Arabidopsis thaliana: one gene and its partner. The protein of the gene in region 1 interacts with the protein of each later gene in a biochemical or structural test. Each region holds a gene or a part of one and is shown on either strand. Other genes may lie near its edges.

Region 1 (8,451 bases):
CAAACTTCATTTCCTAATTCGCATGTATAATTTGACAGAAATTGAATTGAACATTTACTAGTTACCCGTTTGGAAAATGAAATTGCAAACTTATTAGATGATGTAACGAACTAAATATATAACATATCATCGTAAATATTGTAAATATGTTCACTTTTATAGCTTGATTAATGGTAAAATGAAAATTTGATCTAAAGAAAAGGCAATCTTATCTAGATGTGAAAACGCAAAGTGTCGTTTTTCACGTGTGAGAATACTGATTGACTGGACTAGTACGTAGTAATATGGAGATGCCGTGCGGTTGAAATGTCTGTATAAAAACATTTCAGCACCCATTCCTTACAACGTCGTCAATGTTAGATTTTGCCGTTAGTTTTTATTTTATTTTGTTTTCAGTTGTCATAAACTTATTTCAGTTATCAGTTATTATAACTAATTGTTTTTTGTTCCTCTTTTCCTGCTAAGTGTAAACCTATTGCACAAATTTCTTGCATGCGTGTTCACCGTATATATGTTTTTAATTCCTCTTTCGTTATTGGGTTTTTAATGATGAAATAAAACGGAACTCAACTAGGGACAGTACAGTTCATGATCATATTGGATACATGTATTAGTTCATTTAATTTAATTCAATTATATACACAATAGTTTATTTAATTTCTCTCTAAATGATTGATGATGATTGACGTTATTTTCACGGTTTTGGTACCGTATAAGTTTAGTAAAGTGTCAAAACGACATTGTTTGTGAAACATATGGAGTATTTTTTCAAGAGTTAATTTGCCACTCTATCATATCGTTTCTAAAAATTGAAATCATTTCTAGTTTTAATCCTGGTTTAGCTGTAGTGATACTATTATGCTCCTCATTCTCACAATTTATTTCTACTTTGTTTCTTTACCTTCACAATTTCTGCCAAATGAGATCAATATAGACGTCTTCAACATCAAAGTTTTTGTTTATAAATACAAAATTTAAAATAATAATTTTGGTCAGAGTCGATGGTTATAAGGTGATGGGCGTGATGGCAAAGCATGTGACAAAGTTTTATGTCCACTATTCTCTTTTCGCCTAACGCAAATTCGTGTACGTTACAACTCCCTAATAATAATGCGTTAATTACTCTGCCAAGCTCATTTTCATTTATTACTTTACATGTTTTTTTTGTTTAAAGCATTGTCATATTTATTGTCATTATGAAACCCAAAATGAAAGGAGTTAATTAGAGATCATTGTTTTCATCTAGAGCAGAGCTCTGAAACTGGAACCAATTATTTGGAGTCTTGATGCAAATTCATGTAGCCTTGGAGCTCTGAAATTGTTCTTCTATATGTTTGCTGATCAAATTGTTAAAATAATGGTGAGACTGAGACTCATGGTTTAAATACTAGCAAAAATGGTAAATTTAAAATCCCCCTTAGCCACGGACCTTGAGCAAAGAGTCTAGTGTATGTGTCTATATATGGTTCACCTTTTGGATAAGAAATCAATTTCAAGCTCATCTTTCTACATAGAGAGAAACTTGGATCTTGTACTTTTTAAGATGGAAACATCCATAAAAAGGTAAAGATAAAGCTGATATGGCAAAACGCCAACAAAATCCTACAAGTAAATAAATCTTGGGCCAACTTTAATGTTCCTAAAAGAAATGAACTTAGCTACAAAGTTACTAGTCACGTCTCTGCTGCCAAAATTCTTGACACATTCTTTACACTTCTTCGAACAAAGAGAATGGTTTGATCCACAAAGGATGCAATGCGCACCGCTTCCACAACATTTGATCTGTGGCATAAATCAATCTTGCACCATAAGGGCTTGAAACTTTCAGCTTTTGCCACTAACACTCTAACGCAAACTTGTGTTAGACTGCAACCAAATGAAATATTTGAGAAGCACCAGATCCATTAACAGCAACTATGAGCCCATTACAATGATTTGCCTCCATCAGTGTCTTGGATCGCTAACACTATCCAATAACCAGCCTAGCTGGTACTTAGACAGAATTTTTTTTTCTTCTGGATCTGTGAAAATAAATGTAACATGAGCCATTGACTAAGATCTAGCTCTAATTAACTCAGTCAAAACGACGATCAAAAGATTGAACTATTGGAAATGGAAGGGGCCGCGCGAACGCAGGCCCCCAAGGCAACAAATAATGACGCAGGATCTCCCACTTGGGGTGACCTTTGGCTTAGCGCACCTCAAGTGCAGGAAGCCACCAGCCTAGGCCACGGATCTTCATGATCACCCGTAAACCCCGTCCAGGTAAGTAATTTGCAATCCTCGACCATCTTCTTTATTTATACTATGCTACACACGAGTGCCCATCCTCAAACTTCCGATGAGGGAGCATCAACATTATCTCGTATCTACTATAGGCAGGCTTTCGTTGTTTGATTAGCCCAAGTTTTATTTCTTGATAGGCCGCAATGTCTATATTCCGGTCCAAATCAAACCCAACAGATTTTTTTTTTGTCGGCTATTTGTCACAGATTTCTTTTTATATACGAGGAACAAGGTTAATTATATTGAACTAAACATTAAAAAAAAAAAAGAATTTTACAGATGCAGGTTGATATTTAACGTTATTGTGGGTCAACTCAACTCATAAGCAAAGTTGATATGATACTATTTAAATTGACTTCACCACATCCACTTGACACTAATAAATTGACTTCTCCATCCCTATCCACACATATTTGAATCTTCCAATAAGGTTCCACGAAACTGCTAGGAAAACAATATTTTCTAAGGCAATAGTCCCACTTTGGTTAATCATAAAATTGTCAAATCCACTATGTAATTTGTGATCCATAATAAATTAAACCAGTTATTCATCATCTAAGTCAGACACTATTTTAACTCTAGAAAACTTGACAAAGTACATGAAATGTTTTTGAAGTGAAGTAACAAAATTCCAACATGTACAAAATATATATTTTTTTTTTTAAACGAAAATATATACACTAGAGACCTCACCTATTTTTCTTAATAATATCAAATCTCACATATTTGATGTACACACAAAATTAAATTTATAGAAAATGAAATATATTATTTTAGAAAAATAAGGAGAAACTTTGTGGAAAAAATAGAAAAATATTTAAATTATTGTTTTTATAAATTTTATTTTGGGTTCGAACTCTTCAACTCCCTGAACACAAGTCGCATAAAACGAAGGAACAATCTAGAAGAAGAACGATAACATCCAATCTCTCTTTATATTCCTTCCTTCCATTGTGGCAATAAGTAACAAACCTTGCCCTCTACTTCATTCCCTCCTTGTTTTGATTTCATCGTCTTTGTTAGCTCTCCTCTGTTTTTTTTTCTTAGTCAATCGATGGCGAAGGAGCTTGCTGATAAGGCTAAAGAGGCTTTCGTAGACGATGACTTCGATGTTGCTGTTGACTTGTACTCCAAAGCCATTGACTTGGATCCTAATTGCGCTGAGTTCTTCGCTGATCGTGCTCAGGCCTATATCAAACTCGAAAGCTTCACTGGTAGCTTCTTTGTTCTGTTATCTTCGTCTTTTACTGTCGTGGACGCCTTCTGGGGTTCTGGGTTTTTGTATGTTTTCGGTTTCTTACTTCATCATAGCTGAAAGTTGTTGACTTTGCTGGATTATGTGTATTTAGGGTTTCGTTTTGTGTCCTGTCGCTTGATAGTGTCACAATTCTTTTCGAAAGTTTAAAGCTTTCGTATCAATTTGATACTAATGTGTCTCTCTTTTGCTGTTTGTGGAGGAACAATGTATCGGAATTGCTTTCATGAGAAACGAAATTTAGTTATTTGTTATCAGTAGCGAGTGCCCTTTACAAGTTATGCATTCAAACATTGGTTTAAGTTGGTTTTAGCTGTGCTAGTCTTTTGATTCTTTGATTGTGAATATGGAGAATTTTGTTTACAGATAGTGTTAAGTATTAACGGAGTATTGAAAGTTTCAATTTTTGCTTGAGTGATTAGTCTTTAGTTCAACTATTTCTTGCTTTAAGAAAGTATTCTCTGCATTTTTAGCGTAGTATCATAGAACTTTACTAGTTGGATAAGATTTTGGTCTCATTTGATTCTCAATGAGCAGAGGCCGTGGCAGATGCGAACAAAGCAATTGAGTTGGATCCTTCATTGACCAAAGCTTACCTAAGAAAAGGGTAACGTTTTGCTATTTCCTCCTATGTAACATTTTTAAGTCGTATATAAGTTGTAGTGAGAGTTTAATTTTCTCTGATTCCTTAGTCCTTAGATTGTTTTACTACCAGTTTATATGGTCTGCAAATGTGGTATATATCTGTCAAGCTATTACTTCCATTGTTCATGGTTTGGTTTTTGTATTTGTAGAACTGCCTGTATGAAGCTTGAAGAGTATCGGACTGCTAAAACAGCTCTTGAAAAGGGTGCCTCTATCACGCCGAGTGAATCCAAATTTAAGAAGTTGATAGATGAATGCAATTTTCTAATCACAGGTATGTTTTTTGTGTTTTTTTCTTGTTTTCTGGTTGATTATGTTTACATGCCTAGAGTGATTGTATTGTTTGCCATGGTGCAAAATATTTTGTTATGTAATTCACCTAAGGTTTTGATCTATGGAACTTGTAAATATCCTTTTTCCAGAAGAAGAGAAAGATTTGGTTCAACCGGTGCCTTCGACTTTGCCTTCAAGTGTGACAGCACCACCAGTATCTGAACTTGATGTCACCCCTACAGCCAAGTACAGGTAGTTTTATTGTAGAAAACAATACCAAAGTTTTTAAGAATCATTAAATATCTGATATTCTTGAGTGTTAACAGGCACGAGTACTACCAAAAGCCAGAGGAAGTTGTGGTAACTGTTTTTGCAAAAGGAATACCCAAGCAGAATGTTAACATCGACTTTGGTGAACAAATTGTGAGTATAAGGCTCTTAAGAACCCAACTCAATGGCACTTCTGTGTGCTTGTGTGTTAATGGTATTGTTTTGTGTTTTGAAGCTGAGTGTTGTGATTGAGGTTCCTGGAGAGGATGCGTATTATCTCCAACCGAGATTGTTTGGAAAGGTAATTTATCTGTTGAATGAATTAATGTTGGTTTTTCTTTCAACACTCTGAGCTGAACATGTTACATGACTTTGTTTTACGGTGTATATTCAGATAATACCAGATAAGTGCAAATATGAAGTATTGTCGACCAAAATTGAGATCTGTCTTGCAAAAGCCGATATAATCACATGGGCCTCCCTCGAACACGGCAAAGGGCCAGCGGTTTTGCCAAAGCCTAATGTCTCATCAGGTTTTCTACCTTTTCCTTCTTCAGTGTCATCTGATGAGCTTAAACAACAGTCTCTTGTAATGTAAATCTTATGTTGTATGTATGATGATGCAGAGGTTTCACAGAGGCCAGCTTATCCATCTTCTAAGAAAGTTAAGGACTGGGACAAGCTGGAAGCTGAAGTGAAGAAGCAGGTCCGTCTCTTACCATGTACTTAAAACCTCGACCAAACGGTTTTGTTTTTTCTCTTCTTTTGTTTGATTGTGGTTGACTTGCAGGAAAAAGATGAGAAGCTGGAAGGAGACGCAGCTTTGAACAAATTCTTCCGGGAGATATACCAGAATGCGGATGAGGATATGAGGCGAGCGATGAGCAAATCATTTGTGAGTATCTCTTTTCATGGAGTACTGTAAAAGTTTTGTCCTTTTGATCGACTCATTTATGGTTTTCGGGTTTTGAACAATGAGCAGGTGGAATCGAATGGGACAGTGCTGTCAACAAACTGGCAAGAGGTTGGGACTAAGACAATCGAGAGTACTCCTCCGGATGGCATGGAGCTCAAGAAATGGGAGATCTGATCTGATATGATATGATGATCCTTTCCTTTTTATGCAGTTGTGAATTTTGCCTAAATGTAGACAAATCTTGAAACCTGGTCCCTTTCTTCCTGTAATGAGGATCCTAAGGTTTTTGCTTTTTTGTTAAATATGGCTTTCTACCTCTGCTATGTTGTGACTTGTGAGTTATATTGTCTTTAGGTCTCAACTTTTTTGTTTTTGTTTTTATTTGAGTATTCATAATTTCATCATGATCACTATTCTTTAGTTTTTGTTAAAACTTACTTAATTAGTCTACAAAACCAAATATATCCCAAGTATGGAGTTAAAAGTCAAAGAATTGAGTTAACCTCTCGATCGAGTTGTAAATTGTCACTTTAGAGTCGTCTCGATCGAGTTGTAAATTGTCACTTTAGAGTCGTTTTAAACTTAAGTATGGAGAAAGTGATTTTTTATTAAAGAGTTATACAATATTTGTAATTATGAAAGGAACTACGTTACCGACTTGGTGTTGTCCAATGGTATATTTTCTAGGTAGAGATGTTGGATTCGACATCTTTAGAGATATGTTTTCTTTAAAAGAAATGAATTTAACTTGTTGTAGATCCTGCTTCTCGAACATATAGAGCCTTCGAACTTAAACTTCCATATATTCCAAAGAAATAAAAAACCCACGTTATTTGTGTAAAATTTTTACATCTCACAACCTTTATTTTCCGATAAAATTGTGATTTTTTAATATATATTGACATGGAATATTCTTTTGATTATGCAGGTGATCAGAGCATCGAGTCAATAATCCTTAATGTTCAATAATCCAATCAGCCGCACGTAATAGGAGAAGAAATCTATTTGTTTTTAAGGCCGCCTATGATCTATATATATGAACTACCCACACCTGTTTTAACTAACAAAATCTAAAGTTTTCTCAACTAGCCAAAAAAAACCCTAAAAGGCTCTGATCCAATTTCATCCGTCAAAAATCTTATAATAAATGAACTATCTTAGGTTGACCAACGTATCTTCTTTGATCACCTTGATAAGAGAAAGATTTGGTTCAATCGGTGCCTTCGGCTTTGCCTTCAAGTTCGACAGCACCACCAGTATCTGTTGATGTCACCCCTGCGACTGCAGCACCAGCTAAAGCCAAGTACATGTATTGTAGAAAACAATGCTAAGTTTTTAAGAATCATTAAATATATATCTCATATTCTTGAGTGTTAAACAGACACGAGTACTACCAAAAAGACAGAGGAAGTTGTGGTAACTGTTTTTGCAAATTCAGATTGTATAGTGAGATTAAGTAGCGAGGTTTTTTTGAAGTAAACGCCATTTGTTATCTCTCATGTGTATTTTTCCTTGTTTGATCTCTAATGTAACAAAGTTAATAATGAAAGCCAAAAAAACAAAGCCAATTTGGCTTCTTGAAAGATTTGGGTGAAGATTTCATTAGAATGTTACACCCACACTTAAATGAAAAACTTAACACTAAATATTGGAAGACATACTATGATGATACATATCCATATCAAGACTTTTTCAAAGTCTTTACATCGGTAAAACATGTAAATAGTGGAAAAAATTGAGGCAGTTAACATTTTTAGTTGAATGATGAATGATTTATCAAAGTGAGCCAGCTTTGCAACAAGAACTTGATAGTTACATGTTGCCAAATAAAATTGCAAAAAAAGAAGAAAAAAAAATCTAAGACAAACAGTTCGACAAGACTATCAAAAAGAAAATGATAAATATTGCATGGGTGGTTGACAAAATTCACCAAACCGTAGCAGTAAGAGCATGCACTAAACCCACATAACCGTTTGGCGTTTTGGATATAAACACATTGTCAAACCACTCAAGCGTTCCCCAAATTTCCCCATTTTGGTGTTTTTCAATCGCAATTTCCGCACACCAAATCTTTTTTTCCCTATCAACAAACATATACTCCTCCCAAGAAATCGCCATTTTTCCACCATGATCCGCCAATTTAACATTTGAATGAGAAGTAGGCAAACTAGGCAATCTTCCCAAGCCCTTCAAAATTGTCCATGCTCTATTCTTGAGGTCATACCAACGTATCTCCCCCTCACAGTAACGGTAGAACACGTTCTCTACCACACAATAAGATGATGATGACGACAGACTCCATCCATTATTCATACATATGTCTGCCTCTCTCCATTTACCTTTATGCATCTTGTAAGTCACATCTTTTTCATCAGACTTCACATAGACGGTTCCTTGATAACTTACGCTTAAGTACTCAGAGCCTTTGCATATCTCCTCGCTAGGGATCTGTAGAAACTCCCAAGTTTGAGTCTTCGTATCAAAAATCTCCATCCAGTTCATTGTATCGAGATTGTCGCAGCCTCCCGTAACATATATTCTCCCATCAAGAGTACAAGCAGATGGAAACACACGGCCCACCCGCATGCTTGGAGCTTCATGCCATGTGTGAGAACGAGAGTTCATAATCATAACGCTAGACAAAGCGTTATAAGTCTTTGATCCAGTGGCATATATCGAAACGTTTTTATTCTTTGATCCACCGCCAATGGCATATACATCAGGACCAACCACTACAACACCCGGCAGGGATGGGGAGGTAAAACTGGGAGATGAAATCGGAACCAAAACGTTTTTGGAGCTATGT
Region 2 (7,768 bases), on another chromosome or scaffold:
GTAGATGACTCCAGCTCTAAAACCAGGAATTGAAAGGTCTTTTGACAAGCCATATATGATATGAACCCTAGTCTTATCAAATTCCCCTGAGCCAGCGATCTCAGCCATGCTAACAAACTCTTTGTCCCCGTAAACAGAACCCGCAAATATTTCATCAGAAATAACATGGATGTTCTTCTCTTGAGCAAATCTCAAAATATCACAAAGCGTCTCCCTTGATAGTATGTTTCCAACAGGATTTGACGGGTTTGAAAAGAGGATGCCAGAAACCTTGCTTCCTCGTTTTCTAGCCTGATTCAAAGCTTGTTCCAGTGCGGAAACCGTTACAGTAAAATTGTCAGAGCTACGGCAGTGTACTGGTATAAGCTCCACTCCTGTCCGGAATTTAATATCCCTATCAAAGCTGCAAAATGAAGTTTCCTTAGTACATCGCATAGGAAGAGAAGACTGGTGTATAAATCAAAAAGTTTCACCACATACTAATGGTCGAGAAGTGTAAACTAAAAATTACCCTGGATAATATGGCGTCGGAATTAGAAAAGCATTTCCATGATCAGCCAAACAGAAGGCCAATACTTCAATAGCAGGAGTCCCACCGGCTGTTATAACCATATTTGAGGGATCAAATGACACATTACCTCCCATTATTCGTGACATGAAATCAGCAAAAGCCTGAAACATGATAGGAATAGAAGAAATTCAATTTCCTTCGCTACATTGTTGGGACAACTAAATCCACAAGTTTGAATACACAAATTTCTGATATATAATCAACATTCCTTTGATCCTATACAAGAACATATATCAATCAAACCACTTCTAATTTCTGATACACGTTTGCAGTCAAATATTTAACTAATAACTGCAAAAAGCTATCCTTCCTCAAAAAATTTGAAGAATAAAAAAGTGAATGGTGTATGCACTTACCACTCTGAGTTCAAGTAATCCTTCAAAAGGTTTATACATGGCGATACTACTAATATCAAATTCACCATCATCAGATTGCATCATTGACTCCATCAAATTCTCTGACATCCATCTCTGTAGCAAGTCAAAGCACAGCTACAGAACTCACAAAAGCAATCCCCATCAGATTAAACCTCATCGCAACAATCACAAAGAGAAGAAATCATCGAGAACTTTTAAAATCTCACCGTACTCTCGGCTAATCCAAGCTGAATAATCCCATCCGTGTTCGTAATCCGATCGTACGGATCCGTTTTGACTCTCTCCAACCCAATGTAATAAGGCGAATCGGAAGGTTTAGCTACAGGAACTGCTCGGGAGGAGACTCGAACTCGTCCGATCGAGTTCCCGCGAGAGAAGAGATTAGTCCGTGAAAAAGTTCTCGGTAAGTCCGTCGGGTCGGAGGGAGGAGGACGGCGTCGTTTAAGGTAGAGCTGGAGAAAGTAGAAGAGACAACAAGGAATGAGAGAGCCGACGAAGAGACCACCACGGCCTTGAATTACTCCACGGAGAGGTACTATCAACCTCATCGGAAAATGCTCCGCCGCGGAGATAGTTGTTGCCTCCGGCGTTGAAGAGAGATTCGAGCCGTTCGTTGAGAGTAACGAAGTTGAAAAAGAGTCGAATAAATACAAAAGTTTTGAGATAAATTGGCAAATTATTTTTCCATATTCGCAATTTGTCTCTACGTTTTAAAAGTTGCTAAATAGTCCTTCTAATATTGGTGAAATTATTTAAAGATCTTCAAAGTTTTGAAAACAACAATCAAAGCCATAATCATGATCCAAAACACAGAAGATGAGCATTTAACCATTACATATATCTGTCAACTGAAAGGTTCTATAACAAATCTAAAATAGAATTCCATATGATAAGAAGAACATGAAAACACAATTAGAAAAGATGATTAATCTTTGAATCGAAAATCTCAGGAAAAAAAATATATCAGACCGCCGGATCAGGGCTGCTGCTATGCCATCCTTTAGTGCAAGGAGGTATTTCCATGAACTCGTCGAACTCCTTCACGTGAACATCGCAACATTTCCACTACACAAAGAAAACAGTGATATTCAATAGAAATTCAAACAGTGAAAGAAAAGGGTCACAAAATGATTGAACAAAGAACGTGTTACCCCTCTCAGTCTGTCGTGGAAGACCGCAGGACCTGGATGATGGCTACATGCAGTCTCATGATTGTCTCTCTCTTTGAATGTTTGGCCACATCCTTTGTTTTTGCAGACTTGCGGTTGATTAATGTCTATCACAGCCTTTTGTACTGGAGGCGCTAAGGGTTCAATTTTTTCTTCTTCTGCTTGTCCCGGTGTGTTCAGGGTCTGCTTGATCTGTTCTTTGGGTTGGGATCCTGTGTGGTAAAGAAGGACACAAAATTAGATAGAAGGTCATGCATGTAACCAATGTGCAACGAGAATTTAAAGACGAGAGAATAAAGATACAAACCATGGTCTGAGCAGAAGAAGCCTTGCCGGCATCTGGAGCAAGAGTCTTTTGTTGCTGCATTGGCATCTGGAGATGAAGTAGGAGCCGCAACAGGATGTTTTGGAACCGATTTGGCCAGAACTGGTTTCTCAGTTGTGTGTTTACCTGTTTTACATCTTCATTGCAAGAAACATCTTCAGTGTTTGCAATCAACTACAATATGTACCATGAAAGACAGAGGAATTATTATGAGGGGGTACAAGGATATTAGTTACCCTGGAATTTCCAAGAACAAACTGAAATCATGACTTCTTTGCTTGCAGCAGCTCCACTCTTTCATTCCGTCGTGAAAAAATGGCTGCAAGTTTGAACTTTGGTAGCTTTAATTCTCTGAGCAAGCGAGTGTGAAACAAAAAAAAAAACATAAAACAGTATTTGAAGAGTAAATTTGACTTACTCCCTGCTTGAACAAAAACCAGTAGTCAGTGCAAAGACCAGCCCCAGCCACACCGGAAAAAGAAAAGATAATAAAAGAAGATGAATTACAATAAAAAGCTCAAAGCAATAGATGAATATGAAAGAAACACTAGTATACAAGGCCAAATGTTAAGATGAATATTGAGATAAAGCCTTCTTTCTATACACAATTGTTCTAATTACACTTCCAGGGACAGTCTTAACGAGCTCTCTCCCTCACATAGCCATAACCGGTGGCAAAAGTTGGAAGCAAACAATTCAAAAGTCGCTGCATGTACGTACACTCTCCCTCACATAGCCATAAACGGTGGCAAAAGATCTAATACTTGGATTATTCAATTTTACGCAATATACTTTTGCTTTCTTCCATCAAGTGTTCTAATAAGCTCACAGTCTCACAGAATTCATAGGTTGCAAGCAAACAACTTAGTTAAAATTTGACAATTAGACAATCAAAGCTGTGTTCAAAGCTTACTTACTTACAACTAAATGAAATCTACATGTAATCAATCAGCTAATCCAAAACCTAATTAAACACTTGCGTAATCATCTTCTCATGATCAAAAATCGAAATTCGTAACCTCACATCATAAAATCAAATTCAAAAGCTACTCTATGGGTTTATCAGAAACTATCGAAGACTTAGAAAAGAAAGAGAAGAATCGATTAAAGATGGGGAGAGAAGAAGACGTACGGAAGCATGAAATTGACAAGAACCTTGAGGATTGTCGTCATCGGTGAACATGGCGTTGCAGCCAATACGTTGGCACTGAAGCTTCTTCGTTGCAGATCCTACTTCCATTATCTCTCTCGTGAATTTGTGAAGAAATCGGACGAATTGAGAAGGTAGGAGTAAAAAGTATTGGGAAATCAAATTAAAGGGCTTTTTCGTCTTTTAGAAAATTTTGACTTTTGAGTTTTGACCGGTAATGAAAACTGATGAGTAAAACGGGCCTCGGCCCAAATAATACCATGCAGAGCGGGCTTGGTCCGCTTGGACATTATTTTCATGTCCATAAAATAGCATGCGTGATGGATAATAAGCCAATATGTTACAGATTACAGGTTTTTAAAGAGTTTTATCCACGGATTTGTAGGTCTAACCCACAAGAGGAAAAATATGTTGAATGATGGGAGTGTTATTTTATAGACCTAAGCAAGTGATTTAAATGTCGGACCTATTTTGATGTTTTTGCAAAGTTTGTGCAAAACTAATCTTAATTATTTTGTTTTTCTATTTGTATATATTTCCGTCTCCAAGTTTGCTTGTATGGCCTATCCCCAAACTTCATCTACTACGTGGAAAGCCATGACTCCGGAAAATTCAATCTCCGTAATGGTGATAAGAATGGTAGATTTGCTATTTAACCAGCTGATACAGGAAACTCAACAATCTCACAAATGAAATCGAACTATAGATTGAAACGATGTTCATAAAACGCAGATTCACTTCTCACTATGCAAAAATCTCACATTAAGATTTGCCCGTAAATAAATAATATTAGTGAATTGAAGGAAGTATCTCAAACTAACAATGAGTAACAACCCCAAACACACAAGAAAGGAAGAAGAAGAAAAGTTTACAATTCTCAGATTTTTGCATAATGAAGAAGACGATGAACAACTTGATCTTAAGCTTGAGCAACTTCAGCTCATACCAATCGAATCCACGTATCTTTTCTTATTTCAACCAATCACTAAGCTCCACGTGTCCTCATATATGTGCTACTAAATTCCTATTTCACCAGCCTCTTACTTCATTCCACCTCAATCCTTTTCTATACTTTGATGTCATTGTTCTTCTAAGGAGGGTTCTTTTTTGTTATTTTTGTTGTGCATTGCAATGGATTTATACCTCTAAATTCATCTAGTTGTTGCTCGCACTTTAGATATGTGGAGTTTGAGCACACAATTATAGAACTCTGTGGTTTCTATTGAGATTCTTATTTGTGATGAACATTAAAGAAACAACAGCATATAAGGCTAATATCGTTACAACGTTTACACCAAGTAAAACAAGCTATAAGCGCTTGAACTACACAAGAAGGTAGTGAATACTAAATATATACGATATTACAAAAAATAAAGAGTTAAGAAAATACAAAAAGCAAGTCTTGGATCTGATTTGGTCAGTTTCAAATGTTTTTTCTGCCTCCTAGTTGAGTATATCGGATCAAAATCTGTTTTTTCTTCTTAAATCTTCAGTCAATGTACAAAAGAGAGATCACTTGGTTCTGTTATGTACTTCTATCAATGATGCTTTCTCCTGCAAACTCTACAAACAAAACTCTCAGTCACGACCTCACAAGTCAGTTTCCTATAATCAATACATCTATTTTCATTTTTATGTCATGTCTTATCTCAGTTCTTAAATATAAATAGATCTGGAAAAGAGAATGACCTCGTTCGGAGAACTGTTCTCAGAAGGGAACCATCGAAGCAGGACACCGAGGTTCATTGCACTCGGTATTAACTTGAATAGCAACGGAGTCGTTACCTGTAACAGCATTTTCAGGTAATCAGTTTTGAACTAAATATTATTTTAAGTATGTTCTCTTAGAATGGAAAAGGCTTGTTTGCATATATTAGGTAACTTACGAGACTTAGAGCAGTTGTGCCCAAAAGGAGTAGATACATTTTCCCCTACATTGGTCATTCATATTAATCCCAAAGCCACAAAGTTTAGGAAGAAGAAAATGGTAAAGAGTGTGTTCAACTACAAGGGTAAAAGGGTGTTACCTCGATTACGTGTAGGTTTGACGCTCGGCTTAGAAGAACAAAGGCGAACTCTCCAATCTGAGCAAGCAGTACCCCGACCTATATATAACATTTGTGACAAGAAATTTACGTGATTGGTTTTAATAGTATAATATGTAGAAACTCACAAAAGCTTAAGTAGAGAGACCAAACTCACATGGAAAGATATCCTCATGTTGTACCTAAAAGCCTTAACAACTACTGCTGCAATTGCTGTCTTAATAACTATCACTAGAATCACCGACGCTAGAAGGATATCCACGTGGTTCCATAGAAAGTGAACATTAATGAGCATCCCGATACTAGATAGAAAGAGAGCGGCAAACAGATTACGAATTGGTTCCACCTACATCACAAAGTAAGGGAGATTCCACCACCTTAAGACTTCATTTTGTACCACGTACTCGCAAAGCAAAAGCGACCTGAGTTTAGAATCAATACCTGCTCTAGTGTATGTTGAGCAAATTCAGTCGTAGACAACATAACGCCAGCCACAAATGATCCCAACTCAAGACTAAGACCCAGCTTGTCACTGCACTGAAAAAGTTTTGCGAGGAACCAACACTCTAAGTTAAAAATTGGAAATTACATCAATATGCTATTATACTTAAATACTTCAGTGTCTATTGTAATCATCATTTTTTTCTTCTGTAGTCTATTAGTAAGATGCAAGCTCAGGTAACAATTAACTCAGATGTTATAATACACCAAAAGGGATCAGAAAGCTAAGCAAGCACCAGTATGCAAAGAAATGACAGAATTAGACTTACCCATGCAGATAGTAAGCAGAATGCCACAGCAGCTAACTGGTAAAGTTCATTTGTCTGCATTATATAATGAGAGACATTGGCAATAATTTGGATCCCACTTTAAGAAAGAAATAAAGATAGACAAGTAGTGTATATGAAGATATGACGTCTAAAACGTACTTGAGATGATAATTGAATCATTAGCTTCAGAAAACGAGGTACAAATGACCACGTTAATAGAGATGCCACAGTGAGATATATGGACAATATCAGTAGCCTAAATTAGAAGAAGAAAATGTTTTATGTCAGAGACGGTAATGAGGATATATAAGAGGTTCCTGGACAAACTTCTTACTAGGGAACCACTTACAGCTTTCCCATTGATATAATTCCTTGTAGTAAACCACTGTTACCACCCAAAACTGGAAGCAAGGCGAATAGTAAACCAACAACACAGTCCTGAAAATTCAAGATTAAGCTAAAGGAAACAAAAATTTCGTAAAACGAAATATTCAATTTGTAAATATAGAGTGATGTGAGTGAAACCTGAAAGATAAGTATCCCTATAGTAACTTGACCATGAAGAGAACTTGTACTGTTCCGTTCTACCAAAAACTTTACCACCTGGTCAAATTGACATGTGGATTAGAAACAGAAACTCTGAGATGAAACCGGAAAGAGAGTAGCTTTTGTATTAAACTTGAGAAGACAAAAGAAAAGAAAAATACCACTGCAGTTGATGACATAGATAAAAAGGCACCAACAAAAATACCCTCTGACAACCTTGCTCCACACAACTGCACATGTCATCAGATATCAATTCTAAAAATAATTTCAAGATTGCCGTATATGCACACATACTGAAATCTTTGGCCATACCAAGGCAGTTACACCACACAAAAACATGAGTAAGACAATTTGAAGAAGCCCTCCAAGGACAGCAACTGGGCCAACGACTTTCAGCTGTAGCATTAACACAAGAACAACAGATTGTCAGAGTGATATTGCAAAGTCGACATGAAATTGTATTCAAGTTAGTCAAATGTAAGGATATACCTACCTTAGTCATTGAGAATTCCAAACCCAAAGCAAACAGAAGGAAAACAACACCAAACTGTGCTACGGTTTCAACCTGCCATAGCATCAGAAGAAGAAACAGAAAATGTGAATACCAGAGTACTTTTTCCGTATGACTGTGGGGCTCCACGTCATCCTTTCATTTATACCCATACTGATGGATTAAACTCAAACGACAAGAACAAAAAAAATCAATGGTGAAGCCAACGTTAACATGCTCAATCAGAAAGCAAAAAGATCTGATTGCTATAATTGGCATGCCATCTAAAGTCACCGAAAATCTAATTGCTATACAGTAGGGAAAT

The links. Proteins that work in one complex are often made in the same cells at the same time.
Region 2: the proteins of SGT1A (region 1) and PBS2 form a complex in vitro, tested with the Arabidopsis thaliana proteins (one study listed by BioGRID).

Annotation. Positions count from the first base shown.
Region 1 is NC_003075.7:12,296,675-12,305,125, forward strand, and holds SGT1A (phosphatase-like protein), read left to right. Parts: upstream 1-3,203; 5' UTR 3,204-3,340; coding exon 3,341-3,500; intron 3,501-4,075; coding exon 4,076-4,148; intron 4,149-4,335; coding exon 4,336-4,460; intron 4,461-4,608; coding exon 4,609-4,711; intron 4,712-4,785; coding exon 4,786-4,882; intron 4,883-4,964; coding exon 4,965-5,030; intron 5,031-5,123; coding exon 5,124-5,262; intron 5,263-5,355; coding exon 5,356-5,435; intron 5,436-5,519; coding exon 5,520-5,624; intron 5,625-5,711; coding exon 5,712-5,819; 3' UTR 5,820-6,045; downstream 6,046-8,451. Other genes in the region: AT4G23580 (Galactose oxidase/kelch repeat superfamily protein), read right to left, coding at 7,572-8,451. UniProt on the Arabidopsis thaliana protein: Functions in R gene-mediated resistance, but participates in a lower extent than SGT1B to RPP5-mediated resistance. Not required for RPM1, RPS2, RPS4 and RPS5-mediated resistance.
Region 2 is NC_003076.8:20,999,462-21,007,229, forward strand, and holds PBS2 (cysteine and histidine-rich domain-containing protein RAR1), read right to left. Parts: upstream 3,826-7,768; 5' UTR 3,683-3,825; coding exon 3,575-3,682; exon of another isoform or gene 2,864-3,574; coding exon 2,861-2,863; intron 2,762-2,860; coding exon 2,679-2,761; intron 2,580-2,678; coding exon 2,425-2,579; intron 2,330-2,424; coding exon 2,100-2,329; intron 2,014-2,099; coding exon 1,912-2,013; 3' UTR 1,683-1,911; downstream 1-1,682. Other genes in the region: ACS12 (1-amino-cyclopropane-1-carboxylate synthase 12), read right to left, coding at 1-403, 512-672, 928-1,062, 1,155-1,496; KEA5 (K+ efflux antiporter 5), read right to left, coding at 5,105-5,155, 5,282-5,377, 5,479-5,523, 5,620-5,697, 5,795-5,983, 6,079-6,174, 6,408-6,461, 6,567-6,663 and 5 more.